Lepisosteus oculatus: one gene and its partners. The protein of the gene in region 1 interacts with the protein of each later gene in a pairwise test. Links are inferred from orthologs where the notes say so. Each region holds a gene or a part of one and is shown on either strand. Other genes may lie near its edges.

Region 1 (7,030 bases):
ACCTCCCGGGCACTCCACACAAGGGCATCACGACTTGAAGACAACTGTTTACTGGTGGAGAAAATGGCCGAGACTGTTAACAATGGAATGAAAGAATGAGAGACAGCAACATGAAGAGCTGCAGTCCTGTCAGACAGTCACGGGTGTGGACGAAAACCGCACACACCTTCTCTTGCTCTCTTGTCCCTCACTGCAGCTCCTTCCCTCCTCCTCCTCCACCTCTCTCTTGCGCCCCTCCTTCAGCGCGGTCAGGACGGCTTCTTTCGAGCAGGGGTCCACCGAGGCCCCCAGCCCAGGAGCCAGCGCGGTCAGCGGAGAGGACAGCCGGTCAAACCTGCAGCCAGTCCAGAAACAGTGTGAGAAGGGGAGACCCTTCTGGACCTGGTTTGTGCGAGTTTGTGTGTTTCATGTGGGTTTCCTGCTGGTGGTAAACTGGCTTCTGGGAAAAATGGCCCTGGCGTGCGTGCGAGGGGGGCAGAGCGAGCGAGCGTGTGTGCGAGCGTGCGAGGGGGGCAGAGCGAGCGAGCGTGTGTGCGAGCGTGCGAGGGGGGCAGAGCGAGCGTGCGTGCGTGCGTGCGAGGGGGGCAGAGCGAGCGTGCGTGCGTGCGTGCGAGGGGGGCAGAGCGAGCGTGCGTGCGTGCGTGCGAGGGGGGCAGAGCGAGCGTGCGTGCGTGCGTGCGAGGGGGGCAGAGCGAGCGTGCGTGCGAGGGGGGCAGAGCGAGCGTGCGTGCGTGCGTGCGAGGGGGGCAGAGCGAGCGTGCGTGCGTGCGTGCGAGGGGGGCAGAGCGAGCGTGCGTGCGTGCGTGCGAGGGGGGCAGAGCGAGCGTGCGTGCGTGCGTGCGAGGGGGGCAGAGCGAGCGTGCGTGCGAGGGGGGCAGAGCGAGCGTGCGTGCGAGGGGGGCAGAGCGAGCGTGCGTGCGAGGGGGGCAGAGCGTGCGTGCGTGCGAGGGGGGCAGAGCGAGCGTGCGTGCGAGGGGGGCAGAGCGAGCGTGCGTGCGAGGGGGGCAGAGCGAGCGTGTCCTGTGGCGAAGGGGAGTATAGACAGGGAGGGACAGACCCCAGCTCCCCCGCAACTCTGAACTGTATGGGATGACAATGGACAGAGGGCCACGATCAGGACAGCACGTGGCAGCAGTGGCTCTGGCGCCGGAGAGGCCCATACTCACAGAGGGGAGCGGGTCCGGCTGGGTTCCGGCCGGGCGATCTTCACCGTCACGGGGCTGCGCGCCGCCGGGGAGTTGCGTGGCGTCAGGACGTTCTTCCTGCGGCAGCCGTCCCACTGCACGGGGGGCAGCGGCCCCAGCGAGGGGCAGCCCGGCTGCTGAAGGGGGTAGTGCCGCTGGGGGGTGATGCTGAAGCGGCCCGCCGCGCCCAGGCTGTCCCTGCAGCACACAGAGCGACAGACCGTCACCGGACCGCACGCAGCTCGCACCTCCCGCCAGCGTCTGCGTCCGGCCCGTCCGGGTCAGCCCACTTCCTATCCGGTCGCGGAGCCCCCCCCCTAGGGCTCCAGCTGCCCAAACATCTCGGGGCACTTCATCTCCAGCCCTGCTGCACCAAGCCGGCCCGGTCCGACAGCCGAGCCCCCCCGGAGAGGCCGGACCGCGGCGAAGCAGCAACTCCCACATTTTCAAATCTTGGAGGGAAACCCCGCCGCTGGCTTTAAACAGAGGCGAGCAGACCGGCGCTGTAGCACTTAGGAACAAACCCGATTTATTTTAATCACAGCGCCGTCTCACTCTCCGCAGTAGCAAAGCACAGAGGTTGAGCCGCTTCGCCCGGCTGGGTCTTACCCGAATGACAGTCTCCTGTTGGGGGTGTGCACGGCATGGTTGGGCCGAGCCAGCCTCTCCCGGAGCTCCCTGCTCGCCCCGCCGGCTCCGGGGCTGTCCGCCTTACTGAGGTAGCTCCCCATCAGCAGGTCCCGGGGGCTGAACACAAACGAGCCGTTGCCGCCGCCTTCTGCCTCCTTCTGAAAAGCGCCCCGGACCTCCCAGCGCCGCTCGCCTCTGGGCGCCGCCGAATCCCCAAGCTCGCCTTTGCCGGGGCGGCCCTGGTGGCCCCGGGAGCTGACCCGGCCCGCCGAGGGCACGCCGTTCGCGGTCTTGCCCGGCAACCAGCGTCTGAGCGCCGGCGGGATGGCCAGGGCAGGCCGAGGCTGAGGGCCGAGCCTGGTGTGTTGGGACGGGCCGCCGGCGTGGCAGAAGCAGGCGACAGTGCACACTCCAAGGATGAACAAGACGTAAAGGAAAGTCGGTATGTAATAAAGAGCGAAACAGAAAATCGCGACAGCCAGGAGCGCCACAGAGATCAGCGCGATCCGCCGCTTCTCTCTGGGAGACATGGCGGCAGCGCGCCGCCGGAGGACTTTAATATCCCATAATCCTGCCGGGCGCGGGGCGCGCGGGGGGGCCGGTCTCGCTCGGCGGGCAGGAGAGGCGCCGGGAGCCGGCCTGTGCCCGGTCAGGGGCTGACCTCTGTCCACAGTCACCTAAACCGACGAAGCGGGTTTGCACGTCGGCCGATTCACCGTCAAGTCGGTTATTTATATTGGGATTCCTCTTGAACTTTTACCGCAGCACCATAGAAAGTGTTTTCATGTGTTCTCACTGCGTGGTGCAGCAGTACTACCACGCATGACAGATGCACTACAAAGCATTGTGGCAACAGCACGATTGTAGGATGCAATTTCCCTGATTAGAATTATAACTTTCAAGAGAATCAGGTGTGATCAGGGTGAAACTCATATTTTATGCCAGCAGTGACGAGGACACTCGAGTGTAAAAAGACCCCGACCATCGGATGAGACGTAAAACCGAGGTCCTGACTGTGGTCATTAAAAATCCCAGGGCGTTTCTCGAAAAGATTACGGGTGTTACCCCAGTGTCCTGGCCAAATTTCCCATTGGCCCTTACCAATCCTCCTAATTATCCCCATCTCTGAACTGGCTCCATCACTCTGCTCTCCTCCTCACCGAGAGCTGCTGTGTGTGAGAGTACTGGCGCATCATCCAGGTGGGGCTGCACACTGGTGGTGGAGGGGATCCCCATTACCTGTAAAGTGGAGTGTCAGGAAAAGCGTTTACAAACACAAAAAAAAACATGTAACCTTACTTCCAAAGGGAAACTTTTTGCCCCGGGAATTACCAGGATACTGCTTAACTTTATCATGCATATCCCACATTTCTGTCAGTCGATTGAGATAAGTTAAATTTACAGCCTCAGAAAATGTGAATTTCATTTCTTCTCATTGAGAGAGATCTGGGTCCAGATAATACACTGGTTTGATGCAGAACTATTCTGTTTGCTGGACCACAGCAAACCTGAGAACTGTTATGTGGACTTTAGTCTGCCTTTATACTGTAAGGAGCAGTGAGTTGCAGTTTCACAGACCAGGATTTAGCACTAATCTGGGATGATTACATGTTAATTGAAGTAAGCAGGCCCCCTACTAGTGCTCATGGGGCCAAAGCATGGCCTGAGAGCTATGTTAAAGGAGCTTAACACATTGAAATACTGCAGTACGGTGCTCTCTCACTGGGCTGTGATCTAACAAAGACACTGATTTATTATGGCTGGAGGGGAGGCAGCAGATAGCACTGTCTCACTTTCTCTCCTTCGGGCCCTGGGACGCAGCCAGGAGTATGACTGGAAATGGGAGATTAATTACTGGCAGAAGTGTTTTTGAGCAAAAAGGATCAAATTCACTAGCAGCACATTCACATCCACAGGACTCCAAATTAAACGTTTGCTGTAGAAATCCTAAGCAGTTCAACTCGCCTTAATTGCAATGCTCTTACGTTTTCTTAATTCAGAAGGAGAATTTGCGTTCCAGACAAAAACAAACTTTAACAGTATCCATGTTTCCTTACGCTGCACTGTATTTTGACAAATCATTCTCATTGAACTGGGTTGTATAGTGGCTCAGTGACATGGACAGCTGTCCTCTAATGGGACAATAAAACGTTCCCTTCTTCCTTCAACGTGCTAGAGAGAAGTGCGAGTGTGGGCACTGGGAACTCCCATAACTTCACCTACAAGACAGTCCTGAAAAATGAAACTCTTAGGACTTGGGGAGCCATATCCTCTGGGACTCCTGTACATACCCTGAATGCTTGTAATGGGCAAACAATCCTTCTGGGTTCAGTGTTTGAAGGTTTTTGTTCTGTAATCCCGCAGGATTTCCAGAGCTCTCGTGCGGGACCTTTCACAGGCCTGCTGCAGAACGACGGTGCTGAAATGATTGTTCTGTCCCGAGGGGAGGAAAAGGTTCCAGCTACTGAAGAGCCCTAGATGTGCTTTTGTGAGGACAAAAAGGTTTTGTTTGTCAAAAGGCTTTTTTTGCGCTGGAGGCTGGAGTGGGCAGTTGAACGTGTAGAAGATGACTCCACTCTGGAAAAGTGAAAGACGGATAAACAGAACGTTTCCTCTGCTTTATTGTGCAAGGAGACGCAATTTGGTTCACCTGTAAGAAGTAAAGCCGTACAGTAGTACAGCCCGGTGAAGCACGGTGTGAACAGTGCGAGGCACAGAGGTACGGTCAAGCACAATGCAGGCTGGGGGGCCACCACAGGGCTACACTAAAGCCCAGTGTGAAGGGGGCTGAAGGACCAGGAGAACAGTGGACACTCACAGGGTGGGATGGGGGTGGAGTCGGAGCAGGTGCTGGGATTCCGGGATTCCTGGGTGGGGGGGCGTGTGGACGGCTGTGGGCCCGTGGCCAGCCGCCAGGAGGGAGGGAGGGAGGATGTGAGAGGCTCTCTGTCAGCCAGCTGTGAAATTCTGAGGGGACACCTCACTTCCTCAGCCGGCCGCTTCCCCTGAGCGCGCCCTGTCTCTGCCCCGCGACCTCGCACTGCCCACCCCTCCTTCGTCCTCTCGCCATCTCCCCGAAGGCCAACGGACACACCTCCCGCGCTCCCCGCTAGGACTCCGGGGTGAGTTCAGTCCAGGACCCGGCCGGCTCAGGCGCCGTCCAGGACCAGTCCAGGACCCGCCAGGTTCAGTCCCAGAAAGCAGCGCCTTCCTGGGCCACTCTAGACAAATACAGGAGGAAACTTTTACAGACCATAGAAAAGGGGGAAAAAACTGAAAAGAAAGGAAAAAAAAAACTTGGAACGGAAATGAAAGTTTCACAACTGATGCAAAACTGTTTGACAGCGACCTGATTCATAAAACATGGTTATATACACAGTACAGAATCCTGCAAAAAAGTCTCAAGTGGATTCTGGAATGAGTTCCGGAGCATACCGTGCGACTATTTTTAACTGTCTCCATCAGTGTCCTTCCCTCGCCCGACCAGGAAACGCAATCAGGACGGATAGCATTTCAATTTAAAGATCACCCTCACCGTTGCGGGATCAGCGATGCTTAAGATGACGCAGCGAACAGGAATATGCTCGGTACAATAAAGACTGGGTCGTGTTTGGGTGACTCCGCCGAGAGCCGTGTTGGGTATTGAACTGAGTGATGTGCTGGTGCCGCCAGGGGGTGTGTCGGGACACAGGCCCGTGTCCAGCGTGTCAGACTGACAGTGCCTCCGGTCTCGGTAACGGACCCGCATCTACAGCCGGTACACAAACTCTGGCAATGTAAACAAAGTCATGGATAAGGGCGTGACAACAACGCGCCACGCCATTAGGGAGCAGTTTTCCCCTACTGGAAACCTACCGAAACGTACAGAGAATCCCACATTTTATCTAAAATACTTATAGAACATTCTGCACAATTTGGGGATGTTATTGAGTAGAGCTCTTACTAACCTAAGACTGCAATGAGACATGGTTCCCCAATGTTTTTTTTTCCCCCAGACGCAAGTGACTAACTGGGTCAACAACCAATCAGGTAAAAGATTTGAGCTCTGGAAGGCGGGGTAGCTGGGTGATTGATGTGGAAATTGACCAATTGGACGTCAGGAAGAACGGGTGTCGTAAAAGGGGGAGGGGGGTTCTGGGCGGGACTATAGCGATGGACATTCCGATCATCCCAGAGGCGGGGCTAAACTAAGATTGACGCCGAGACCGCCCAAGAAGAAGCCGGAAATACGAGCAATGGGTGGGCCACTGTATTAAACTAGCCAATCACATCGCCAGGTTTTCAGTGTGGGCGGGGCCTGCGCCGGGTGCGCCTCGGCGAGCTGGGGGTGTTCGGCAGGCAGGCTGGAAGGCAGCTCCCGGGGCGGAGAGTTGTGAACTACAGAGTGGCGAAGAAACTTCGTCGGGGCGCTTGGACGTTTCCCTCACTGCCTGGTCGTGCTATTCTAAAACAGCACTCCGTCCTCGCCGCCCGCCGCGATGGACCGGGTGAAGAGCTCCATACAGCAGGTCCCCAACCCCATCCCCAAGGTGCTGAGCCGCCGGGCGGGCGCCAGCAGCCTGGACGCGGAGCGGGAGAGCTTCGAGCGCAGCCAGGTAGGAGCGGCGCCCGGGGGGCTTGCGGTCCTCCGTGTAACGGGTCCTGAGGAAAAGGCAGGGCAGCCTCCTGCGAGGGCCGGCAGGTTCCCAGCGCGATTTCCCAGCCGTCCCAGTCCCAACCGGGGAAAGGCGGCGCGGCGGGCGTCCGCGAGCGGGTCTCGAGCCGGTCTCGAGCGGCTCTCGCGGGGCACGAGCCGGGGAGTGACGTAGCGGGGCCCCCCCGCCCCCCCCGGCTCTGCCCCTCCGGCCCTGCCCCTCCGGCCCGGCGTCGTGCTCTGTCGCGCCTCGGACCGGCGTGGAAATTCAGGTGACCCCGCCTGCCACTCGCGAAAGCGGTCCTGGGGGAGCGGGCGCGTCCGGGCAGAGCCCTCGGTTCGGACCAATACGGCTTGATTTTGTCGAAACTCGCCTCAAGTGACCGTGTGAGAACGGGCCGTCGCCTTTCCTCGGCTGCTGTCAGTTCCGATATCTGTTCCTGACGACTTCTAACCTGTTCTTGTGAGATCCGTCAGCTGGCCGTAGCGATTAGCTGTCAGAGCGGCTTGAAGGGCTGATTTACAAGTAAGCGCACGGACCGGGATGTTGGCGAGTTAGTTATTCACGATCCCTGGGCTTTAT
Region 2 (7,478 bases), on another chromosome or scaffold:
TACTAATAGCCATATATTCCGTAACAGGAATGACAATTAATTATGTATATAAAATATAAGAAATGTAACCTACAGTACATACTAAACATTTGCCCAAAAGTAGAGTTTTCACATCATTTAAAGAAGCTCAGATTATCTGCAAGAAATCCAGGCTTGGATTTGTAAACTCTACAAGTCTAACCTGTGACTTTGGATGTTTCAGCTCAAACACCCATCAAACAACAGCCAAATGTGCTGTGAGAACCTGTGAACTTCAAGCGCAGACATCGATAGTACTAAGACATCAGGACTAGCCATGGTGTCTGCAGATCTCCGTCTCGCAGAGGAGTTTCCCGGTGTCATGGTGTAACGAGCGTAAAGACTGATCCATGATGAGACATGAAATGCCTAGCAGCTATTTAAACAGCTATTTTGTTGAATTTGTGTGTTGAATCAATGTCCTCTGTTCTCTGTGCAGTGCTGCATGTTCACCACTGCTGGACTCGTAGCCCCTGGCTTTTCATCCGGCTCCTCCAGAGCTGCACACTGGGCCCTGATGTCCAGCAGTGCTTATTGCATGGGCTCTCTTGGATCATGGATCAATGGGCGCTTTTCTGTAAGAAAATATCTTTGTCCTCCTTGATGTTAAAGCCGTTTCGAGACACATCAGCAAGAGAACATTGCCATTTACCTGTTTCCTTTAGCAAAGCTCATCTGTGTTCAAAATGTAATTAATGCATTTTGTCCCTTCGTTTCGTTCAGGAGCCAATAGCTTCATACAGAGATGTTCCTGCACATTGTAAAGTGCACTGCAGCTTTCCCATAGACAGCTCCAGCCCAGCTGTCCCAGGAATCACTATATCAGACCGCAGAATAAAACCCTGGGCGGGTAATTTCACAAACCGTACACATCTAGTCAGCTGCATCACCCACTCGCTGGGCGCACGGCTAATTTCTTGCTTAATCGCGGCAGTATGGCCTTGCGTGGATTTGCATCCCAGCCCTGGCTCTGACTCACAGCAGTGTCTGCCCCACCCAGTGGGTGTGCTCCCGCCAGGCCCCAGGAGCTGCTGGGAGCCGGAGCTCGGAGGCCCAGCTGGAACGCCAGTTCCCACAGGCTGCAGCCCCTGGGCTCAGGCCCTGCGCGGAGCCGTCCTGCCTGGAAGCTCCAGCTGCAGGGATTCCCCGGACTCTCCCACTGCGGGAATGTCAGCCACCTCAGCGCGGGGAAGTGGGAGGCCGTTTGGCAAGAGGACGCCTGGCGCTAACAGATGAGGATAGGAAAGAACTACGCATTTTAAAGCAGCTTCGAAAAAACAACAACTGTCCCTCAGTGAAAGAGTTCATTGCAGTTGAACTGAGTTTTGCAGCAAAACGCCGAAGCAGCACAGAAATTCAGTACACATGGACTCAGCTGACTGACGGTCCTGCTAGGACACGGCAGCTTTCAGGCGTAACCCACCTCACAGCTTCCTCCAGGGAAAGAGACAGAGAGTGGGGGCGGTCAATCTTTCCACCCTCTCAAAAGGTGGTGAGCTATCTGAGAAGGTATTAAGGCACCTGCAAAGCAGCAGCAGAGACGTCCTGCTGTGTCCGGTACAGCATTGCCACGGCCTGTTTAAAAACTCATCTGCCATTCACACCCACAGAGGTCAACGTAAGGATGTACTGTATAATTTCCATCAGGCTTTTCTTTAGTCCCCTTCTCACCTTTACAGGAGGCAAAAGCCGTAGTTTAATCGTGTTAAGAAAGTGACAGGCCTGTCTGCTTCGGTGGTCAGTATGCGCTTTGCTGCAGTGATGCCGCGCCACAGAGCTGTGTCCAAGCGTTGTATAACTGACAACACGGGTATCTGAACCAGAGGGGCGTCGTCCCACCATCAAAAACAGAGGTCTGGTCTTTTATTTTCATTCGGCTTGTTCTGTGACAGAGATGTGGCACTGGAGAGTATGCCACTAGGGAAGTATTAAGAAGCATGACTTTATTAAATTAAGTGATTTGGAGGCACTTTGACCTTGCGAAAAACCTTCAGTGTGGTGTAAAAATAAAATAAAATGCAGACTACAAAGGCTTGAAAACAATGCTCGAGGATACAAAACAACAGCATGGCCCGACGACAATACTTGTGAAAAAGTGCCTATGTGGCGAAAACTAATAAAGAAATGAAGGAATGGATTATTCGGATTAAAAGTCTGCTTTTGGAATAGAGCCGTTTATCAAAGGCAGTGCTCACACTGGCTTATTATTATTATTATTATTATTATTATTATTATTATTATTATTATTATAGTTTCTGACAGTTTTTAGTCTACACGCTATAAAAACCAGCATTTCACTGAGGCGAAAGCTGTTGCTGTCTCTTGGCCGCCAGGGGGGGCTGTGGAGTTGAAGAAGGACTCGCGCTTCGATACCGTTGCTATGCTGCGGTTGCTATGTTTGTAAAATTCATTGTACTAATGCAGTACAGTGTTTTGCAAACAGAAAATGTCCGGGGTTACTCATCTCATGTCACAGGTGAAGCCTCGATCAGGTGGAGTTTCCCACAGCCGTAATTCTGGAATGGATGCTTTCATTCAGAAAAAAATATATAAGAAACTGAAAAGTTTTTTTTTAACCATAGCAATAGTGACCTAATTAAAGTGTGGTGCTTTTTTAAAACAGAGGAAAAGATAAATGTACGTCATACCGCACACATAAAATTGTCTCAATCCAGAAACACTACAGCAGCGCAACCAATCGTTATGCAAAGTTATAACTCATAAGCTCTTCTCTCCTGTACCTGGATTCTGTCGTTGTCTTCCCGTACATTACAAAAAAAACAGTTAACTACTTTTGCAAAGATTTGTTTTTCCTGCAGTGTTAACGGCTATGCATGCATTAGATCGCAATGTCGGGATTTTCATGAACACATTCTGAGTTTTTTGGGGAAGAGTACATCTTCAAGGGGTTTCAGGCTGTTAAGAGGGTTTCTCCATGAGGAAAGTCCAGGTTTTTCTTTGCTTGGTAACTTATTGTTTGAAGCACGAGCATGATCAGAAGATTTTTATTTACAAATTCCCATCTCCGCTACAAAACAACAGAATACCAAGAGAATTTTTTCAAATGTTTTCTGCCGTCTGGTGCTTTTCTTTTCTCAAGAAACAAAATTCCTGTGTGGGAAAAGTCTTTGTCAGACATGTCTAGCACTTTATATTTAAAAAGCACCGTGCAATGTTCAATTTCCCACATGCAAAATAATTGAATCGTACCTCGAAGGTTAATAAAAAAAACACACACTCTTAAAACCGTACCCAACAATAAAATAGCTGGGGTATAGCCTTCCAATACTATCAATAACACATGTCCTCAAACAGAGTACTGTATAAGAGTATATATATATTATTTAAATTTTCAAATTAATATTTAGGGGCAACCCCACCTATTGGCTGAAGTCCCCCAGCCTGTGCAGGAGTAAAACGCCCTCGGCTCGAACCGTGGGTTATTTCCCCCAGAAAAAAACCCAACCCTCCCAGGCGCTGTTGTCCGATATTCAGTGGGACTCTGAACTCGAGTGGAAGTGAATCTTTCCCAAACGAACCTCCTAAATTGAGTTCCCATTTCCATCACGTATTTTCTCTCTTTCTCAAATGCTCCCCGTTTCTATCTGAACATGGAAACCCGTGCCGGCACCCAGATCCCCTTTATTTTATTTGGCCGATACCGTCCATATCTACACAGACGGGGTGCACAGTGCCGAATGTAAAATACTGTAGCTTCACCGTGAAAATAGTCGTGTGCGGGTTTAAAAGAACAGCGCTCACCTGCAACGTACTTACAATACAATGCAGGTTTTGTTTTTTTGGGGGGGGGAGCTCAGCATTTGTAAAACTCCTTTTCAAAAAGACTTTTGTTTTCTCTGGCTTACAGAACACTTCCCTGCTTCAGGGTTCATCATGGTCCAGGACCCTGTTTTTATTTAACATTTTAAGTTCTGACTGCAACGACTTCCCAAGCTACAGTAACATAAAACGGCTGGATTTGTTTTTAAAAAAATATACATATAGCTGTTGTTAAAGCAATGCAAAGCAATTCGGAAATTATTTGTGAATCCCTAAATGTCCCATCTCGCGTACTTATTCGGAAGCCTGCCTGGAGATCGATGTCGTACAATATCGTGCAAACCAAACGTGATTTTAAAGAAACTTAAAACTCTCTCATGCGTGGGGAAGGGTTAAAAACTACCGACCCCTTCTCTACAAATAACATTTTAGAAGCCCTCACGACTCCGCAGCGCGGGAACTTATAGTGTAAAATCGAGGTTATATTGATAGGAAACTACAAATTTTCATTCTTACTAAACGGACTGATCTGGGGGGGAATTTTCCCCATAAAAAACCCTTGTTGAGTTTCCCCAGCTGCTAACAATGTTCTCACAAGGCTGCCTCGCCAGTCACTGGAAATCCCCGGCTGCCTGTTGCTCCGCCCTTGCTCGCCTGGCTTATATTGGACGGGCTCTGCGCCGACACTCATTTTGAGCTCAGAGCTAGAGAGAGGACTGTCGGAGGCGCGACTCAAGATCAAAATGGAAGCTATTAATGGTAACCAGGGATATTACAACATGGAGGATCGGGATCTGAAGCATGGGAAACATTTGCAATGCCAGGACGAGAGGCTAGACAGCGGGTTGGATTCTTTGAAAGAGGAGGAATATCAAGAAATCCTGCAGGACATGGAAAACCTGAGGGTGAATCCCACGGAGGCCAACCGGAATGACTTCCACAACGACCCGTGGAAACTGCAGAGGACGGAGGACGGAGACACGTAAGTTGAATTTGTTGACCGCGGAGGACCCGCGCGTTACGAAATAACGAGGAAAGAAGGGCGCTTAGTACGAGTGCATGAGCTGGGGTTTGATCGAAAACGGCGTGGCTTGTAACAAGCATATGCCGTGCTTTTACAGAAGAATCAAGAAGTGTTCAGATAGAAACGACACCATAAGCGGGGGGGGGGTTCGTACTCGGAAACAAAATGACCATCGCGCACCAGAGCACGCAGGTCTGCAGGGAGTCGGGCGGCACAGACAAAAAGGGTGCATGCGAGAAACTTTTTTTTTTTTTAAAGAGTTCAAAAAAACCTTCGGTCTTTGAGGCGAGAAGGCGCTGGGCGTTAGTCGGAGGGGTTGACGTAAACAGCGGGGCTCGGAGTCCTCTGCGCCTCGCAGGGGCGGCGGCGGAAAGTCCCTGGCGCGGCGCCAGCGGCGGGGCGCTCATGTGTCAGGACCTCGCTAGTGGAAATTACCACCGAAAACCCAGGCTTGCGCAACACGCAAGTGCTGCTTCAAGCACTTCCCTCCCTCCCCCCCCCCCCCCATCGGCCTCCTTTCCAGTCCCTCCAGAAACCGTGTAACTGAATGGATTCTCATCTTCTTTTCCTCCAGGTTGCTCCACCTGGCTGTTATTCACGAGGCCGCGGACTGCGCCCTGCAGATTATCGAGCGCTGCCGCGGTGACCCGTTCCTCAACGTCCAGAACAACCAGAGACAGGTAATTTCCAGCAGAAGGGATGTTTTTGTCTAGTTCCCTTTAGTGGGGAGGAATTGTTAATGGGGGTTTTTTTTTTCCTTCAGATTTTAATGTGCAGTGAAGACGTTGATGAGCATGGATTGACATTCCTCTTCCTTTCTCTTATCCAAATAGACGGCTCTCCACCTGGCCGTGATAATGGAGCAGCCCCAGGTTGTGGAGAGGCTGCTGACCGCTGGCTGCGACCCCAGGCTGACGGATGACTGTGGAAACACGGCCCTGCACATCGCCTGTAAGAAGGGCTCTCTGCACTGCTTCAGCGTGCTGACCCAGGGCAGCACACAGCACCTGCCCTACATCTTCAACACCACCAACTACAACGGTAGGTAACCGTTGGCATTCGTCGTGCAGTGATGCCCTTTATTAATGTTATTAATGTTAACTCGGAGTCAGCTGGCTTTGGTAAAAATAAAGACTCTGAGCTGGAAATCGCCAACATTGACGCCAGAAACAGAAGGCCTGGTGCCGATGTTGAATATCTGGAAAGATCGGAGGATCAGCCCCACTACCACGCTGAACCATGGTGGCCTGTCACTGACCAGCTTGCTCTTCCTTCTCCTTTTCCAGGACATTACTGCCTCCACTTGGCCTCCATCCACGGCTATCTTTCGCTGGTGGAGAACCTCATTCAGCTGGGTGCCGATATCAATGTGCAGGTAGGTTTGTGCTCTGCCTTGTTGGGCAATTCCTCGGGGTTCGAAGGGGCATATCGTGAGAGGCTGGGTGGTACACTTGAGCATCTTTTCTGGAACACGTCTTCCAGTCCACCATTAGAGCCTTGAGTTTTAGCGGGGACTTTGCTGTGAGATTGTGCTTCCGCTGGCTCTGGAGAGCGTGTGGCCTGTCTGACGTGAGCTCGCCCTGTCCTCGCAGGAGCAGTGCAACGGCCGGACCGCCCTGCACCTGGCTGTGGACCTGCAGAACCTGCCCCTGGTGCAGCTCCTCGTCGCCAAGGGGGCCGACGTCAACAGCCTCACCTACGGGGGCCACACGCCGTACCACCTGACCTACGGCCGGCAGAACGCGGAGATCCAGCGACACCTGTACGCCCTGACCGCGCAGGACCTGCGGGAGCTCCCGGAGAGCGAGGCGGAGGAGAGCGACGACGAGCCTCTGTACGAGGAAGATGACGTAAGTGTCCGCGCTGTCCCAGTCCTTGGCTGAACCGGGTGGGGGTGGGGTGTTGACGCATGAGGCACTCGACTGAAGCAGGAGCAGGAATTAACGTGACACTAGTTGTCATCAGCTCTGATTGGATGTGTCGAGAGCCGTGGGTGGTCACTGGTTTCCTTTCAGGAAGCTAGACGTGGCGGTTCTCTTACCTCTGCAGAAAAGTGTGTGTGGGAGGGGGTTCTTGACTCCTGCGGGCCCCAGAGCCTAACCTGCTCCTTTGCTTTCCCCTCCAGATGTACGACGACATTCAGCTGGTGCGGCAGTAGTGCTCGGGCCCGGGAGCCTCGCGCTCTGCTGGAGGAGCAGAGGAGAACACAGCCGCTGGCAGGTCCCAGAGCCTGCCCTGGCCGGCAGCCAGTGCCAGCAGGAGCACTGGCCAGACTCCGTGTCGCCGGGCCGAGGGCGTGGGAAGTGTTTGTGGAGAGGAAGGGCGGGGCACAGGGGAGCTGGACAGACAGGCTTTGGAACTGATCAACACTGTGAGCCCAGGGAGGATTGCACTGGGACCCAGACAACCAGTTCACTGCACACAGAACCTGTACTGGACCTGAATTTCCAAAGGACTCTGACTCGGTCTTCACAACCCGGAATTTCTGCAAGCTGTACACCTTGGAGTGTAAATATGTAAATGATGTACTATACAGAGAAATCTATTTTTTTTGAATGAACTCTTTTCAAATAAGTTTCTTGAAGTAAATGAAATGTTATTATACATGAACACTATCGAGTGTGTGAGTATCTTGTATGTTTTAAGTACTAACTGA
Region 3 (7,559 bases), on another chromosome or scaffold:
GTTCCCTGCCTCTGTATCAGAGAAAATCGTCTCAATAAAAGTCACAAGGGGCTTGACAGTTTCCTGCCAGCCACTATAAGAGACAACACTGGAGCCATATATTAGTGTCCAATGGCCTTTCTGCCACAGAACTCATGTTAAATAAACCCACTGGTTATAAACTATTTACTTGGCATAATGTCCACGATCAACTGCTCTACAGTTTTTTATTGTGGTCTGTTCCATTGCAGACGAGTAATTGCAATGCCATCCGTAGAACCAGTCACTAAATAATGTAGGTCATAACGAAGTGACTATTGCAAACTTTTTCCCAGGATATGAATCACAACTGACCACAACCCCTGGGTAATACACACTGGGGTTCTTTGGAGAGCAGAAGTTAAAGGACCTTCCTTTTCAAGATGTGTTTATTGAAATACCCCACCCAACCCCAACCTCCCAGGCAGGACAGCCTGCAACTACCTGACTGAGCACAGAGGCACGCACACACACAACACACAACACACACGAAGGACGTTACTAGTACCTTTCTCTGTGTAGTGGATACATTGTTACAGGCTAGGAAGAGCTCCTTTTCTACAGCAGAAAGAGAAAAGGGGAAAAAAGGTGTAAGTGACAGGATAAGAGCATGCAACTCCATCAGAAAGCTGGATAACCAGCAGCAGCTGCAGACAGACAAGGTCACAGCGAAAGAACATTTTCTACAGCAATATCTGGTCACTGATTACAACCTAGTAATACCCAGCAAGACACAAACAATAGGACAACACATGCGGGAAGGCGGTTATAGAAATTCTCCAGATTTTCATGCCAATATCTGATAGAGAGCAGAGAATAGTGTTTCAGCTCTGCTCTAGAGCATACAGAGCCACTCAGAAGAAGTGTCCAAGTCAATACCAGGGCATGAACCTTATTTCTTATTCCACCCTAACCAACTTCAGGAACAATAGAGACGACACCTGATGCAGCTACTGAAAACATTTTCAGAGAATTTCAGAAGATCGTCTGATTAGGTGAAACTTCTCTTTATTTAAGAGCGCTGGTCCTAACTGGAGAATTTTCCTTTGGCATAAAGGCAACACAAGAGGAGTCCCACTGTGTTGCTCCAGTGCGTGACTAATCACACCCACCCGTGTTTTACAGAAAGTGCACAAGAAAGTGAACCTACTTATATCAAGCCGGGTGTGTGTGTGTGGACGGAGCACATTTACTCCACATATCCGTGCAATTACATGCAAGTTGTCACGAAAGATCCTTTCCAATACTGTCTCACTTTTGTACATTGTAACAACACCTATGATCCAATTACACAATTCGCTGCTACTATTAAATGTTACTAATCGCCGATGGTATCGTTACTTTAGAACGCAACACGATGCTTCCGAACAGCACGGCGAAATCGTCTCTGCCACGTGGCTTTAATAGACGAAAACTCTCGCGACAGGACAGGGCAACCCACGCAGAACTGTCTCCCGTGGAATCCTGGAGACCGCGAAAGGTCACAGCGGAGCTCTCAGGCTTTCTGCTGGCGAACGTTCTCGCTCAAGTGTCTTTCCAGTCATGTCACCTGGCGTGAAGGTTCTGCGCCCGAGTTGTGTTTCATTAAATATGAATGTTCAGCTCTGTGTTCCCACGCTCTGAAGACGCGAAGTTTTCCCAACAGAGGTTTCTTTTAAAGCACTTAAGCAGAATAACTTGAGGGCGACATAAATACTGTAGGTTTTTCAGCTGTCTTGCAACATAGTAGGAGGGCGTTCCTCCAACCTTTATGCTGCTTTTAAATCCTGTTCCCTTATCCCTCCTACATTTTACTAGCTTCCCCGATTTAAAGCGTATATTTCGAAATAAATGATCCATACTTACATGCCCCGTTAACTGCATACAGTATGTGCTTAGGTCTGGCGCTGGGGGGAGGGGGTAATTATTTAAAAGCATGCACAGGTCCCAGATTTTCATTTTAGCACTTCGTTTATTAGTTTCATACCGGTAAAATCAAGGGGGGGCTCCGCCACTGACAGCCACAGCATGACTGTCCTGCTTCAAAGTTTGTTTGCGTTTAAAGAAAGTAAAAAATCAGACCCAGCCACTGTCGCAGCGGTTTTTAAAGACTAATCCAGCAACACGAGACGAATGCTTTCGTAAACGCCGCCAAGGGCAACGTGTCAAGATACGTTCTGAAGCTAGCTCATAGAAAAGCACTTTTCCCTCCCAAAAGAAATTCATCCAATGCGAGGAAAACAAATATGAACTGATACTCTCCGTGCATTGCTGGTATTCGTCAATCCGCGAAGAGACACTGGAAGGAGGCTATGTTCTTAAACATCAGTTTATTTATAAATATCCACATAGAAGCAATGTGGTCAATGTAGCGCCATCCTTAACTTTTCCCTCATTCTGCTATTAACAACATTTTTTTTTTTAAGTTTTAAAAAATAATAACAACATAACTCACCCCATTTCGTTTTTACTCCTGTGTAGATTTTGTTTTTATGTCAATGCTGTGCAGCCCCGTTTTCTAGCTGGTCATGAGAGGGTTTTTTGTCAGGCTTTCCCGTTCTTTTGTCTACGGATCCGGATGCTTCTTAAATTTCCACCGGAATTTCACTGCATGAAAAGAGGGATGAGTTCTTGGCTGTGCTTGCCCCCCGGAATCAAGCTGTGCAAGAATCGCCAATTATGAGTCTTTTCAGAAGGAAAAAAAATGTTCTCAAACGTTGTATTTGCAAGTTCGGAAGGTGCTTCGTCCTGTACTGCAGTCCTTTTGTCTCTCAGAGTCTGTACTGCCAAGTTCCTCTTTCTCCTCGTTCTGCACTCCGCTAACCATATGATTTAACACTCATGTTCTGTATTTCAGCTTCCCGCGTTGCAATAGTCTACAAACGAGTTTATTCTTGCGTTTGTTTAATGACGACTGTCAAACCTTCGGGCTAGCTCTACTTTTCTGCGGGCTCATGGTGTCTTCCAGTCCTGAGAACGCTGCCACAATCCCATTCTGGATGGCAGTTCTTGCTCCAGTTAGGTTTTAAACCATCTTGTTCGCCACCTGCTGGTTACACGCGGAATGACACATCGCTTAAAGCTGTCGAACCTAGTGTTCTGTTTTTAAAAAACTCCCCTCTGTGCTTTCTGCGGGTCTGAACGCCCCCGCTCCCTTTGTTAAAGAGCTGTCATTTATTTAAACCACAGGTGCACCATTCCATTCCTCTAGTGTCCAGAATCCAGCAGGTTTTCTGGGTCGTTTTAAATCCTCGGTAGATCTTCGAAAAGAGTTAAACTGGTCCAGTGAAACTAACGATTAGGCCAATTAGGTCATTCAGAGCAGAGTGGGATAGAATCTGGAGACACTGCGACGTGCCAGGAATGGAGCTGTGCACCACTGATTTCAGTTTCTTTGGGGACTTAACTTGCAGATGAAAACATTACATATATGGACTCATATAGGATACTATTACAGAAGTTTTAAAACTCTTGGACTTCGCTGTATCAGTGTCATAGCAGAAAGTAGTCCTTTCTGTGTCTGTAGCACAACACTCTGTAGCACAACTCTGATTATTGTGCACCTCAGATATCTTGTCAATGGGATGTGGATATCAAAGCTAAGAGTAATGCAGTAGTAACTCATCTCAGTTAAGAGCATATATCAAGAAATAGTGTATTACACCTTATAAACTAGAGCTGGCAGCACAGACACTGCTGAGAGCAGTGGATTCCTAAATAGGCATTTATTTTCCTCCATAGTGACTCTGTGTGCGGATTTCTTTCCACTTGGCTTTAATGAATGTGTGTCACCTTGGTGATGTCTTTTATATCCAGATGAGCAGCTGTCCTGCATTGGTGTAAGATCCTGTCAGATCTCAGAAGCTCTGTAAGGTCAGTAATGGAAACAAGAAAGAGAGGACTGAAACAGAAAATACAAAAACTCAAGCCAATATGCAGTTAATGAAGGGGGCATGCTGTAAGAGGCACTGCTTTGGATGTGAAATGTCAAACTGAGCTCCACACAGCAGATGGTAAGTCAGCTCAGGTATTGACCCTTCATGTCCCAGCTCATTGCTGTACAATTAAATGAATTCAGATCTGCCCTGTTTTAGAGTGAATTGTGATCAGAGATGTTAGCAGACACTGTGTCACCTGATCCCATCAGATCTCAGGAGCTAATCGAGGCTGGGCCTGGGATAGAAAGCCTCCAAGGAAATCGGGTTGTTGCCACTGCAAGTGGTGCTGGTGGACCGGTAGGTGGCGCTCTTTGCTCCGTCAGAATTTCTAAACCAATGTCTCGGTACAGTGACTGAGATAGGAGGTGCCTTCGTTTGGTTGTGATGTTAAACCATGATACTGACAGCTTGATCCCAAGAGATCATATGGCACTTTTTGAGTGGGTAACTGGTGTGATGCTTAAATTCTTCAAATGCCCAGGCTCGCACAATCTAGAGCTCTCTCTTAACTCAGCTCACGTCTGCTCCTGATCTGCTGGTTAGTGGGCTTGCTGGTGCAGAGGGGCTCCCATGTGTCGATGAAGTGGATCCCCTCCTAAATGGAAAGTGCTTTAGGATCCTTTGACATGAAGCGTTAACAGGAATCACAGACTCTGTTCTTATCTCCCGCTTTAAAGAGGCCAATATGAAACCCATTGCTCATCCTCAGACAGCAGAGCAGCTGACGCGACCGGAGGAAAGCGAGAACGCCCCTCTTTCTTCAAGCCCCCCGGCTCTGCGGGTGATTTCATTCGTCTTCTATGTGCCGGTGCTGCCGGCCCCCCATTCGGGACTCCGACACCCCCAAACCCACACGGCAGCTCCATTCAACCAAGCTGCCCGTCAGACTTCGGAAACATGGCAAGTCCAAAGCCTGCCATTAAAGTGGAAGATGACCAGATAAAAATCCCCCACAATATGCTTCTTCTGGTTTACTAAGGGAGTGTTTGATCTACTTTGAAGTGATCTATCCGTATACACAACTGTGTTCTGTAAAACTTGAAGCCAAATATATAAGTGAAATCCTAAGACACTGATGGTGCACAAATTGCCAAATTCAGCTTCTTTTGGTATTTTTCACATCCCCTTTTTTCTCAGTTAACACTGTCAAGTCTTTTCAGAAGCTTGTCTTTCTTGTTGTTTGGTTTGAACAACAGGTTAATAGGACAAAGAGTTGGAAACACCAAATTAAAATATAATTAATGTGAAAGGACACTCACATGTGCTCTCTACAACTTGTGCTATATAACTAAATACCAGTTTCAGACTGACCTGATCATACATACTGAATCACTGTTTTCCATTAATATTCCACTGCAAACTAACTGGGTCTCATAGCATTAAGCATAACATGTGAACATCAATCCCAAGTAGACACTGTATTAGCCAGGAGTCTGGCTCAATCCCTCCATTTTGAGATTTATTCCTGGCTTTCCCAAGACTCGGTGACAGTAAATTTTCTGACTGCAAATATCATACCAGACAGGCAGGGAAAGTGCCACATGCAGGCATTAAAAAAGTCCCTATTCTCCAGCAGCTATGAAAACTGGCTGTATCCAGGTCTGGGGATAATGCTGTGTGTCTCACTATAAACCTGTCTTTCTAACGGATTAAATAAAAACTGATTTTTCTCAACATGTTGTGTCCTTAAACCACCTGACAAGAAAAAAACAGTGTTGCACAGATGTCCCCACTTATGATGAGAGCTGGTGAGATCTCTCTCACACTAGCCTGTGACTTGACTGCGCTGTAAAGACTGGTTTCGTGACAGAAGCGCAGCGTGAGTCCACATGATGGAAAGGTACCCCGATTGTTCACATCACCATGCTGAAGGAATCTTGAAAAGAAAATAGCATTATCCGTGTGAAATATAGATTAATAATACAGAAGCAGACAAATATATGTAGTGTATTTAGCGTGGTATTCTATGCTGATGTTCTATTTTCCTCTCTGAAGGTGGCAGTACTTGAGTTAATGCCCTAGATTTGAACTCAGTCATTATATACTCTTGAGAAAACACTGTAAAAATGCCATTCGTTGTTTGTATTGTGAGTGTTGTAACAGCTGTTCTTTCGCTCCTCAGGGAACCTCCGATTCAGCGTAGAGCTTTTCAAACGTGCTGCAGTATACTGTAATAAACACCGGCGAATTTGCTCGCTGTACTTTCCTAAACAATGCTCGGAATAAATCCCCTTTAGCCCCTCTAAACGAGGCGTAATCGGCGTTCAATTAAAAAAAGAAAACGAACGAAAGGGAAATCTATAGTTTATTCTCAAAGGATAAACAACAGCTGTCAACCAACTGCGGTTTTATTTTCCTGTTCAAAGATTTTTTCCCTTGTAGCCAGAAGTAAAATGTAATTTTAGTAGATCAGTACAGGCGGAGAAAGATATGATTAACAGTCTCTGTCTCCGAGAATGGAGGAAATGAGTTTCAGACAGGATTTGGGATCGAGTGACCACGCCCCTCCCTAAACGTCCTCCAATCAGACCGCTATAGGTCGACACACCTTCTAACACGTTGCCCCTCCCACCTCCTTATTAGGCAGGGCAGAGGTGTGTTTATAATGAAGGCGGGGTTGAGGAGATAGCAGTATTGCTTTGTTTCATACAAGCTTCTTAAACGATTTTTGCTTTTTTTAACTATGAATTCCTACTTTTCAGTAACATTCTCGAAACGTAATAGTGAAGATTACTAGCATGTCTATCTGTCCCTTAACACATCCTTAACATTTGGCTTTTTATCATGAAAAACGTGTCCAGTACTGTTATAATTTCTTGAGAAGTAAAAAGTTACATTTTGCAGTTCTACACAATGCATGGAGTGGCTCCAAAAAGCCTTTTTAGTTTAATAGCACTGACCGTGACAGAGGCCTGGCAGCAGTATTTACAGGTGATGCTTTAAAATACGTTCCCTGCAATTACAAGTTTACAACATAAAGAAAAGTTTGTTAATTCTGGATGACTGAGAAACGGTTGATATGCAAAATGTGCTGTTTGCGCATTCACCACCCCTACAAAACCCATTTTCCAGGACAGCTCATAATCTTTAAAATGCCAGTAAGGCAAACAACATTTTCTCTCATTTAAATCCTTTGCTGCCCTCTATTGATTACAAATGCGTCCAGATTTTACTTTTCCCAGAATAAAAATCACTTTTAATTAAGCAGTCAGATGTATTAGATTACTAAACATAAACTCTGAAAAACATACCTATTTTATACATATGTTGAAAGTATTTTGAGTACCACTCACGACTACTAAAAATTGATTGGGGGTGTTATTATCCAATGATCAATCAACGTTATTAGTCACTGCATGCTTTGCTAAAAAGATTTTATGCAGTGTTTACTACTTCTATAAGAAGAATGAAAATTAAACTTAGTCTGTTTACAATTACAAACCAAATAATTCCTTACATTTATACAGCACTCCACTCAAAACACTTCACAGACCCCACACAGCAGCCATCAGTGGGAAGGATAACAGAGCAATGAAGCTAATTCACCTTTAACCCCGGCTGCACGTCTTCCGTAAGACAGCGTGGCGTGACGTCACCGTCACGTAGAAGACGTGCGCCCGGGGT
Region 4 (7,375 bases), on another chromosome or scaffold:
GGAATCACATGTATTTCTTTATTAAGTATATTTATTGTTCAGGGTACATTTTTATTAAAACAAAACTGAGTAACAATTTAGTTGTCTGAAAAATATGTATTTCATGACTTTTAAGTGTATGCTTCATTTCTTTGTTACTGATAAGTTACTATAGTTTTGAATTTTAATAATATTCACTAATATATGTTTTCACTAAGAACAAATATTCACTAAGAACAAATTAAAAAATACAGAGACAATCTAAAAATACTGCCTACTGACATTGTTAGAATATGAAAAATGTTATTCATTTTTGGGATTCAATATCTCAGCTTCTGGGATATTGCAAGTCTAACACAATGTGCATCTGTGTTCTAAATCGACTAATAAATGTGATATTTGCGACTGGCACTTTGATGAATAAAAACTGTTATCGCTTGTTCCTTCTTAGTATACTCTTACTTCTATGGATGTTCAGTTTTTGTGGGGTTTCAAACAAATCCCCTCTGGGTTTTAAGGAAGGCCACTTGGCAAATACCTTAATTATTTAATAACCCCATCAAACCATTTCATAAAATTCACTTGCAAAGTCAGCGTCATTAATATTGTTGATGAAATTGTTCTCGATCTCCACGATCGTCAGTATAAACATGTCTGTGGATTACACTGCATTTTCAGGCTCAGATTCAGACTGACTGAAGATGCTCTCCGTGTTGTTGATTTTGTAAGTACACTAAATGTGCGAATCCTTTTAAAATGAGGCACCTGAGGTACCTGAATGTCTAATCTTGTCTAGCAATTAGCAAATGGTTGATTGTGAACCTTTTAGCACAGTAAATGAATGGGAAACCACTACCTCACTTGTAAACTCTATGTTCTGGAGAAAGTGCAACCATTCCCAACTGTCCCATTCCCATAAGGGGAATGTACAACCTCCTTTGTTGTTCAACATCTGTCTAAATGAACCACCTGCGGTCTTGGCGTATGAAGATTCAATTATGAGAACATACATCTGTGATGTCTGCATTGACATACAGTATAGTCCAAAGAAATTAATCAGATAGAAGTTATGTTAGCATCAGAACTAAATGGGTTATTAGGACACTCCAGAATACGAACAAACTGATTCCATGTCCTAAAAAATGTCTCCAGCCTCTTCCATCTCCGAAACCATGACCTTAGCAGACTATGGCCTCAGAAGATGGTCTGCAGTCTCCAATCTGAGGAGTTGAAGGCAATGAGATTGCTGTTGTGTGCACTGACATTAGGACATCATTCCATAGTTACAGTATAGAAGAAGCATGTTATTTACACTCATTGTCATACTTTTTTAAATGATATCTGACAATGAATATGTCTTTGAAGGTGGAGGTGTTAAAGAAGGCAGCCGTCGTTGAATCAACTGATTTATGAACTACGCACATGACTCATGAATGTGACCCTTTATCGCGTCTTTTTTCTATGCGCGCACCCAAACACAGCTTGTCTCTGCAGTGTCACAGCAGTCTCTGAATAGAAGCAACACACTTTAATCACCCTTTAACCTACACACAAATACTACTGCAACCCCAATTTAGAAAAAAATAACTTAATTTCTATATCTGCTTTTCTGAAATGCACTTGTTAACAACTTCAAGTAAGCATTAATTTCCAATAATAAAAACTGGTAAACCAGTTACACCAGTCATTAATATCATCATGTGCTGATGATGAATTTTATTTGATGAATTCTAAATATGTTTATAAACTTGGCGATTTATGTATTCACATGGGTACGTAAAGAAAACTGAAAAACCTTTATACAGTATAAAACTAACTTTACGACGAAAGATTTTTTTGAACAATAGACATAGTATTGAATGAAGTACATTATAAATATTAGAAATAGCGGTTCGATATTGGCAATAAAAAACTATTGGAAATACATTATCTAGTTCAGCGTTCATATACGATCAAACATTTAATATGCAAACGCGTACGCCTGCAAAATGTAATAACATTTGGTTTAAAAAATGTTGATTGTTAATAGTGAGGTTAAGATTAACACACATTTCTTTGGTCGAAAACAGGCGAACTCTTTGTTAAAACGATGCTGCACTGGTTGTTTTCAATATATTATACGATTTAATTAATCATATATTGTATACAGTGATTTGATGAATGGATTAGTGGGTGCTTTAGTATTGGATCAACTACCAATCCAGTTAAATGAGAGCAACATACGCGTCTCCATTCACAATTTCGGGACCAAAACTTCTCAAAGTCAACATCCAGTAGCTCGGTTTCGAAAAGGGTACACGAAGTACTTGATCTCGAGTGCATCAGCTTTAAAGCCCGAGTGCACACTGTATGTACTATTAATACGTCTTACAAACCTTAAGACACTTGGAAGTAACAAAATGTATTAAAAGTTTTCTCACGGGATTTATCCGGGATCTATTTTATATGGAAAAATGGTAATATGTCGCGAATAGAAGGAATTGAAATACAAATGTTACCTCTTCTTCTTGGCTGTTATATTCATTTAACTCGTTCTCTTTTTCAGTTTTGCTGCTGTTCATTTTGTAAAGCCCGAATTCAAGTTTATGTAAGCTTTTTTTTAAGGATCCAGCTGTCAGTACAGTTGATATCCAGGAGGCAGATTAGACCCTCAGTATACAGTCCAGAAATTGAAGAATGCTAATCTCTTCAATTAGTCAACATCAAAGACCTTCGGCGTTGAATGGAAACCAGAAAGCCAAAAACAACGAGGAAACCAAGATCAAGAAACGACTAGGGTCTCAGAGTCTGGGTGCCAGGGAATCCTGCCAGTTTCACTTCAGGCTGTTACTCCGGGAAGACGCCTATGAACTCCAATTCCTAGGTCTCCAGAATACTCCACTTTGACTGCTGTGTGAAGAAAACCTGATCATTTCTCTTTTGTTGCTGGTATGGCCAGAACGTCAGACAGATCCCGACAGAAGTAAGCTTTCTCTCATTGGGAGGCTGGGTACAGAGAAACAGGGGGCAGGTCGTACTGTATGTTGTGTTCCACTTAAGCCATTAGGAATGTTTCTAAAAACGCAACTTGATAATAAGGATACGAAACAGAAGAGCGCTTCAGGCTGAAAAAGATATGCTAAGAAAGAGAGCGAGAACCAGCAAGAAGGTTTTTTGGGGGTATTTTTCATGTAGCTGTATCAGCGCAATCTTTCTTATACCCCGATACAAAACGATTATTGATCAGTTGTGATACGCACTTCAAGTAGGCATATAGATACTAAACAATGAACACGGGTCTTAAAATGTGTTTTAGTTCTAATTTTAAAGAAATTTTTATGCGCCTAAACTACATTTAAAAGACAGAAACAGCTTTCGCTCACCAGCATACATTATGCAAAATAAGGAATACTGTATGTAATACGGAGGAAGTCAGTTGTTGATATTGTCTCTTGATTTTTTTCTCCTTTGTTTGATGCAGGCAGTTTAAAGTGCATAGGCTTCCTGGCAGGAACAACTTCCTTCAAATCCCCCTTGACATTTAATTGAATAATAATTGGGTGGCTGAGATATCGTGTATAGCTCTGTCCAAGCAGTCTTCATTCAGGATCTTTAAGTCAATAGTTTGTCTTGGAGCTACTTGCAACTTTATTCAGTCTTACTTAAATGATGCCAAGATTTTCAAACTGTGAAAGGCCAAAGTTGATACAATGATCACTATGCTTAATACTTTCTACAAAAGTTTTCTTTTTCTTTGTAGGCTTCACCTTTTCGTTTTTACCTGCTTTTTTTATCTTTGGAAACAGCTCATCAGCTGATTGCTGTCAAAGGAGATACAGTACCAGGCATGTCTATGTACACTACATTTTGGTCCTGTATACGCTTATCTTTTGGTTTTCTTGTAAAGTAGATTGCACTTTGCAATGATGGTCCATATATATATATTTTAAATCCATAGGACTCATATATAATTAAAACTACAATCGACATTTCTTGTTTTATATTCATCCAATTTGCAGGATATACTGAAGGCAGTACAGCGGCACAGTAGTTAGCATATCTGCCTTGCACTGTTGTGGCTCTGGGATAAATTCCAGACCTATCTGCTATTTCTATGGAGTTTGTGTGTTTTCCCCATGTTTGCATTGCTTTCCTCTGGATGCACAGGTTTCCTACCACAGTCCAGACACATACCATTAGGTTAACTGGCTTCTGTGAAAATTGGTCCTGATGTGAATGTGCGTGTGTCTGTCTATTCTGCAAAGCACTGGTGTCCTATCCAGGGTGAACCCTGCTTAGCTCCTGTTGCTTGCCAGAATAGGCTCTGGCTCCCCCACGACCCTGAATTGGAAGAAGCAGTTAGGAAATGGATGGTAATTCTGTATATACACCTCCAACACACCCATCTGTCACGGACATTTGACCCACCAGAAACTCCACAGTGCTCTAGAGAGCAAGTGGCATTCTAAATGCACAAATGCAGTGGTATGCTCAGCTAGAATACACTAAAAGTGATGCCAGACTGGTCTTAGTTTAAACACACTTAGTAAACACATACTGTATGAAACTAATGTGTGGGAGATTCTTGGTGTGAACACACACAGTGAACGTGTGTGAAATCTGCTACAAGACAACCGAATCCCTCAGACCAGAAGGAAATTGTGACTCAAGATCAGGGATCAGAGAGTTGATCAATGGACCCACAAAAACTACCAGCTACCCTCCTTATTGAGTGAGGGTATAATTGAAATACGTTTGACTACATGTTTCAATGTACTCCGTCACCAGTTCATATTATCATCTCCAATGCCTTTAACACCTGTATGGCAAATGCTGGCCCATGTTCCATAGCAAAGAACTGGAAGATCTGATAAAGCTTTTAAAAGTTGTAAAGTTAGAGTCATCCAAACAAAACTAGTTGATTAGCTGTATAATTGTGGGTTCTAGTGGATGTTTAACATGGATTTAGAAAACTTATTTCTTGCTTGACTAGTTACAGTTATTTTAACAACCAACAGTAGTAATGGACGCACACAGAGCCTACTCTTATGTGTTGGAAGTAGTACGGATGTAGAGTTTGGTCATTTTTACTGCATCTCATTTTGTAGAGGTAGTTTGACTACCGACGAGGAACATAACTATTGAAGTGTGTTTGGACAGTTGAGGCATTTGACTAGATAAGCTTGCTACATATTTAAGGTTATGCAGATCAGTGAAAACCAGATAACTTGGCAATTTATGAGACTGGAATTCCCCTCCAGCCAGTCCATTCAACTAACACTATCTGTAAAAAGACGGACAGCAAGAAATGAAAAATATAACAGGAAAGAGAAGAGATACAGTTACAGCTTTTACAACTCACTGGGTTTTAATCATATTTGCAAGATAAAACAACAACATGGGTTTACACTTGTTTATTGTCCCTGCAATCCTAGAGCAGGTAAGTGCAAAATGCTACCTTGCCTTTTAACTCTTTCTAACTTCAAAAGGAGGCTTCTCAAAAAGATTTCTCTGAGACTTTGAATGGCATTTTAAAAAATAACAATAATCCTGATATGAACCTCCTTTGCTTTCTTTACAGGAAGTTACGAGCTTTATGAAGGTACAGCTTTTGCTTTAAATTTGAACAAAAACACATGGAGTGGATTTATTAGTTAGAAACTACATTTCTGAGTTTGACCCAAAAAACATTCTAGGTTAAATAATCAATTAAGTAAAATATGAGGACTATGAAAGAATTGATTAAATTATTAAAAAGTACAGTTTGGTAAAAAGAAAAAACAAAAAAAACAGGAAAACAGTTTTCTCAGAGATAATCATGTGAAACATTCCTTCTTTTATTTTCATTGGCTTTCCCTTGCAAGTAAGGATGGTTGTCGTCTTTGGCTCTGAATGTGACTAATGAGGCCAATACAGCTTCTTCGAGCTTTTGGGTCAAGTCTTTGTGAACTCTCTTCAATGCTCTTGATTTGCTTCTTGTTCTTTCAAATTGGTTCAGTTATGTGCCATAATCTAATCCAATAAAGCCTATGTTTATGACATGTAAGATTATGATGATAATAAATACAAATAAAATAGAGGATTACCTGTAAAGCACTAGGATTCTAAAGGATAACTACTATGGATTTGGAAAAGATAGGACTTGCTTAAGTAATCTGATCAGAGTTATCTGATCAAGCAACAGCAGTACTGAATTCAAACAGCATTTCTGACATGGTACTGTAGGCCAGGTGTAGATTATTGTGTGTTCAGAATCAGTGTAGAGTATGTAACGGGAGCCCGTCAAAGTTCCCGTGAAGCATAGTTCAGGACCCTATGCAGACGGTATAATCTGGAACTGGAGAAGGACATCTGGTGGAGGAGACGAAGAGGATCAAGACGGGATGACAGACAGGAGGGTGTGACTACGGTGATCCATTGCTCGTGGGGGCGTGGCGATGGCAAACAGGTTCAGGGAAGTCCAAATGGGGGAATCCGGGGCGCAGTCCAAATTCCAAAACGGGAATCCATCCAGGACAAAACAAACACAGTTAAAATTCGGAAAGGGATCTAGAACAGGGAGAGGGTCAGGGAACCAGGAAGATAAAAACTGGATAACGAGGCCGGGTGCTCCGAGCCCCGGACTCAGCTTGGTCAGGACACCGTTAGGAAGCCTACGCCTTCAAGCCGTGGACGTAGGACAACTTGATGGTAAGTGGTTCTCCAGGCATCTGTCTTCCAATGCAGAGCCAGGAGTAGCGAGAGCGCCCGGCTTAAATAAGGAGGGACAAACAGAGGGCAGGTGCACATAATCTACTAAAATACGAAAGGGCCGGAGCGCCCTTAAGAGGAGGGATTCTGATCATGACATAGTATGTCTCAGGACCTTAGAAAATGTGTGGAGAAATTTCCAAAGGTTCTGTGTCATTTGTAGTGATTGAATATTCTTACAGTCCTGATCTCTAAGGGGAGGGAAAGAGGACCCACATGTTGGCACAGTCCCCATCATTTGATCTGTAATATGATAGTTTTCACTCCATCCTTGTTCTTAGGTATATGGCTGGTAATTTATATTCCCTTGGATTACAAGCCTACAAAATTCTACAGAGACAGAGGCTGGCAACAATCTAGAGGGATAATTTCCAGTACAGTAAATGGCAATTGAACTTCATTAGCATTAAACCAGATGCTCCCTTCTTCATTATTAGATTACCACAAGAATAAAATCCTTTTGCTCCAGATGATGATTTGTATAAGATAAAGGATGTACCATTTTCCATTCCCAATACTCACCTGCTACATAACCTTATTGATGCACCCATATTGATGCCTATTCTGCAAAAGATGACCAAATGTAGAAGATGCAGAAAGCGCAAAAGATGAAGAATAGGAAGATTAATAATAAGATGAGAAGATGAGTCCTAGAATGACGATGCTT

What was found.
Region 2: the proteins of pom121 (region 1) and nfkbiab interact in binary tests that used the Homo sapiens proteins (3 or more experiments, as listed by UniProt). The two-hybrid records come from large-scale screens. The link is inferred for Lepisosteus oculatus from reciprocal best matches to the Homo sapiens genes POM121 and NFKBIA.
Region 3: the proteins of pom121 (region 1) and homer protein homolog 3 interact in binary tests that used the Homo sapiens proteins (3 or more experiments, as listed by UniProt). The two-hybrid records come from large-scale screens. The link is inferred for Lepisosteus oculatus from reciprocal best matches to the Homo sapiens genes POM121 and HOMER3.
Region 4: the proteins of pom121 (region 1) and RNA-binding protein with multiple splicing interact in binary tests that used the Homo sapiens proteins (3 or more experiments, as listed by UniProt). The two-hybrid records come from large-scale screens. The link is inferred for Lepisosteus oculatus from reciprocal best matches to the Homo sapiens genes POM121 and RBPMS.

The regions. Positions count from the first base shown.
Region 1 is NC_090721.1:492,940-499,969, forward strand, and holds the start of pom121 (nuclear envelope pore membrane protein POM 121), read right to left. Parts: upstream 3,011-7,030; 5' UTR 2,345-3,010; coding exon 1,794-2,344; intron 1,383-1,793; coding exon 1,167-1,382; intron 335-1,166; coding exon 167-334; intron 1-166. Other genes in the region: hip1 (huntingtin-interacting protein 1), read left to right, coding at 6,293-6,409. UniProt on the Homo sapiens protein: Essential component of the nuclear pore complex (NPC). The repeat-containing domain may be involved in anchoring components of the pore complex to the pore membrane. When overexpressed in cells induces the formation of cytoplasmic annulate lamellae (AL).
Region 2 is NC_090703.1:3,280,533-3,288,010, forward strand, and holds the start of nfkbiab (nuclear factor of kappa light polypeptide gene enhancer in B-cells inhibitor, alpha b), read left to right. Parts: upstream 1-4,476; 5' UTR 4,477-4,541; coding exon 4,542-4,780; intron 4,781-5,396; coding exon 5,397-5,502; intron 5,503-5,655; coding exon 5,656-5,863; intron 5,864-6,108; coding exon 6,109-6,197; intron 6,198-6,414; coding exon 6,415-6,672; intron 6,673-6,947; coding exon 6,948-6,980; 3' UTR 6,981-7,478. UniProt on the Homo sapiens protein: Inhibits the activity of dimeric NF-kappa-B/REL complexes by trapping REL (RELA/p65 and NFKB1/p50) dimers in the cytoplasm by masking their nuclear localization signals.
Region 3 is NC_090724.1:3,910,831-3,918,389, reverse strand, and holds the start of homer protein homolog 3, read right to left. Parts: upstream 3,019-7,559; 5' UTR 2,458-3,018; coding exon of another isoform or gene 2,453-2,457; intron 2,076-2,452; exon of another isoform or gene 1,864-2,075; intron 577-1,863; 5' UTR 550-576; coding exon 527-549; intron 1-526. UniProt on the Homo sapiens protein: Postsynaptic density scaffolding protein. Binds and cross-links cytoplasmic regions of GRM1, GRM5, ITPR1, DNM3, RYR1, RYR2, SHANK1 and SHANK3.
Region 4 is NC_090696.1:69,305,172-69,312,546, forward strand, and holds the start of RNA-binding protein with multiple splicing, read right to left. Parts: upstream 3,006-7,375; 5' UTR 2,541-3,005; coding exon 2,478-2,540; intron 1-2,477.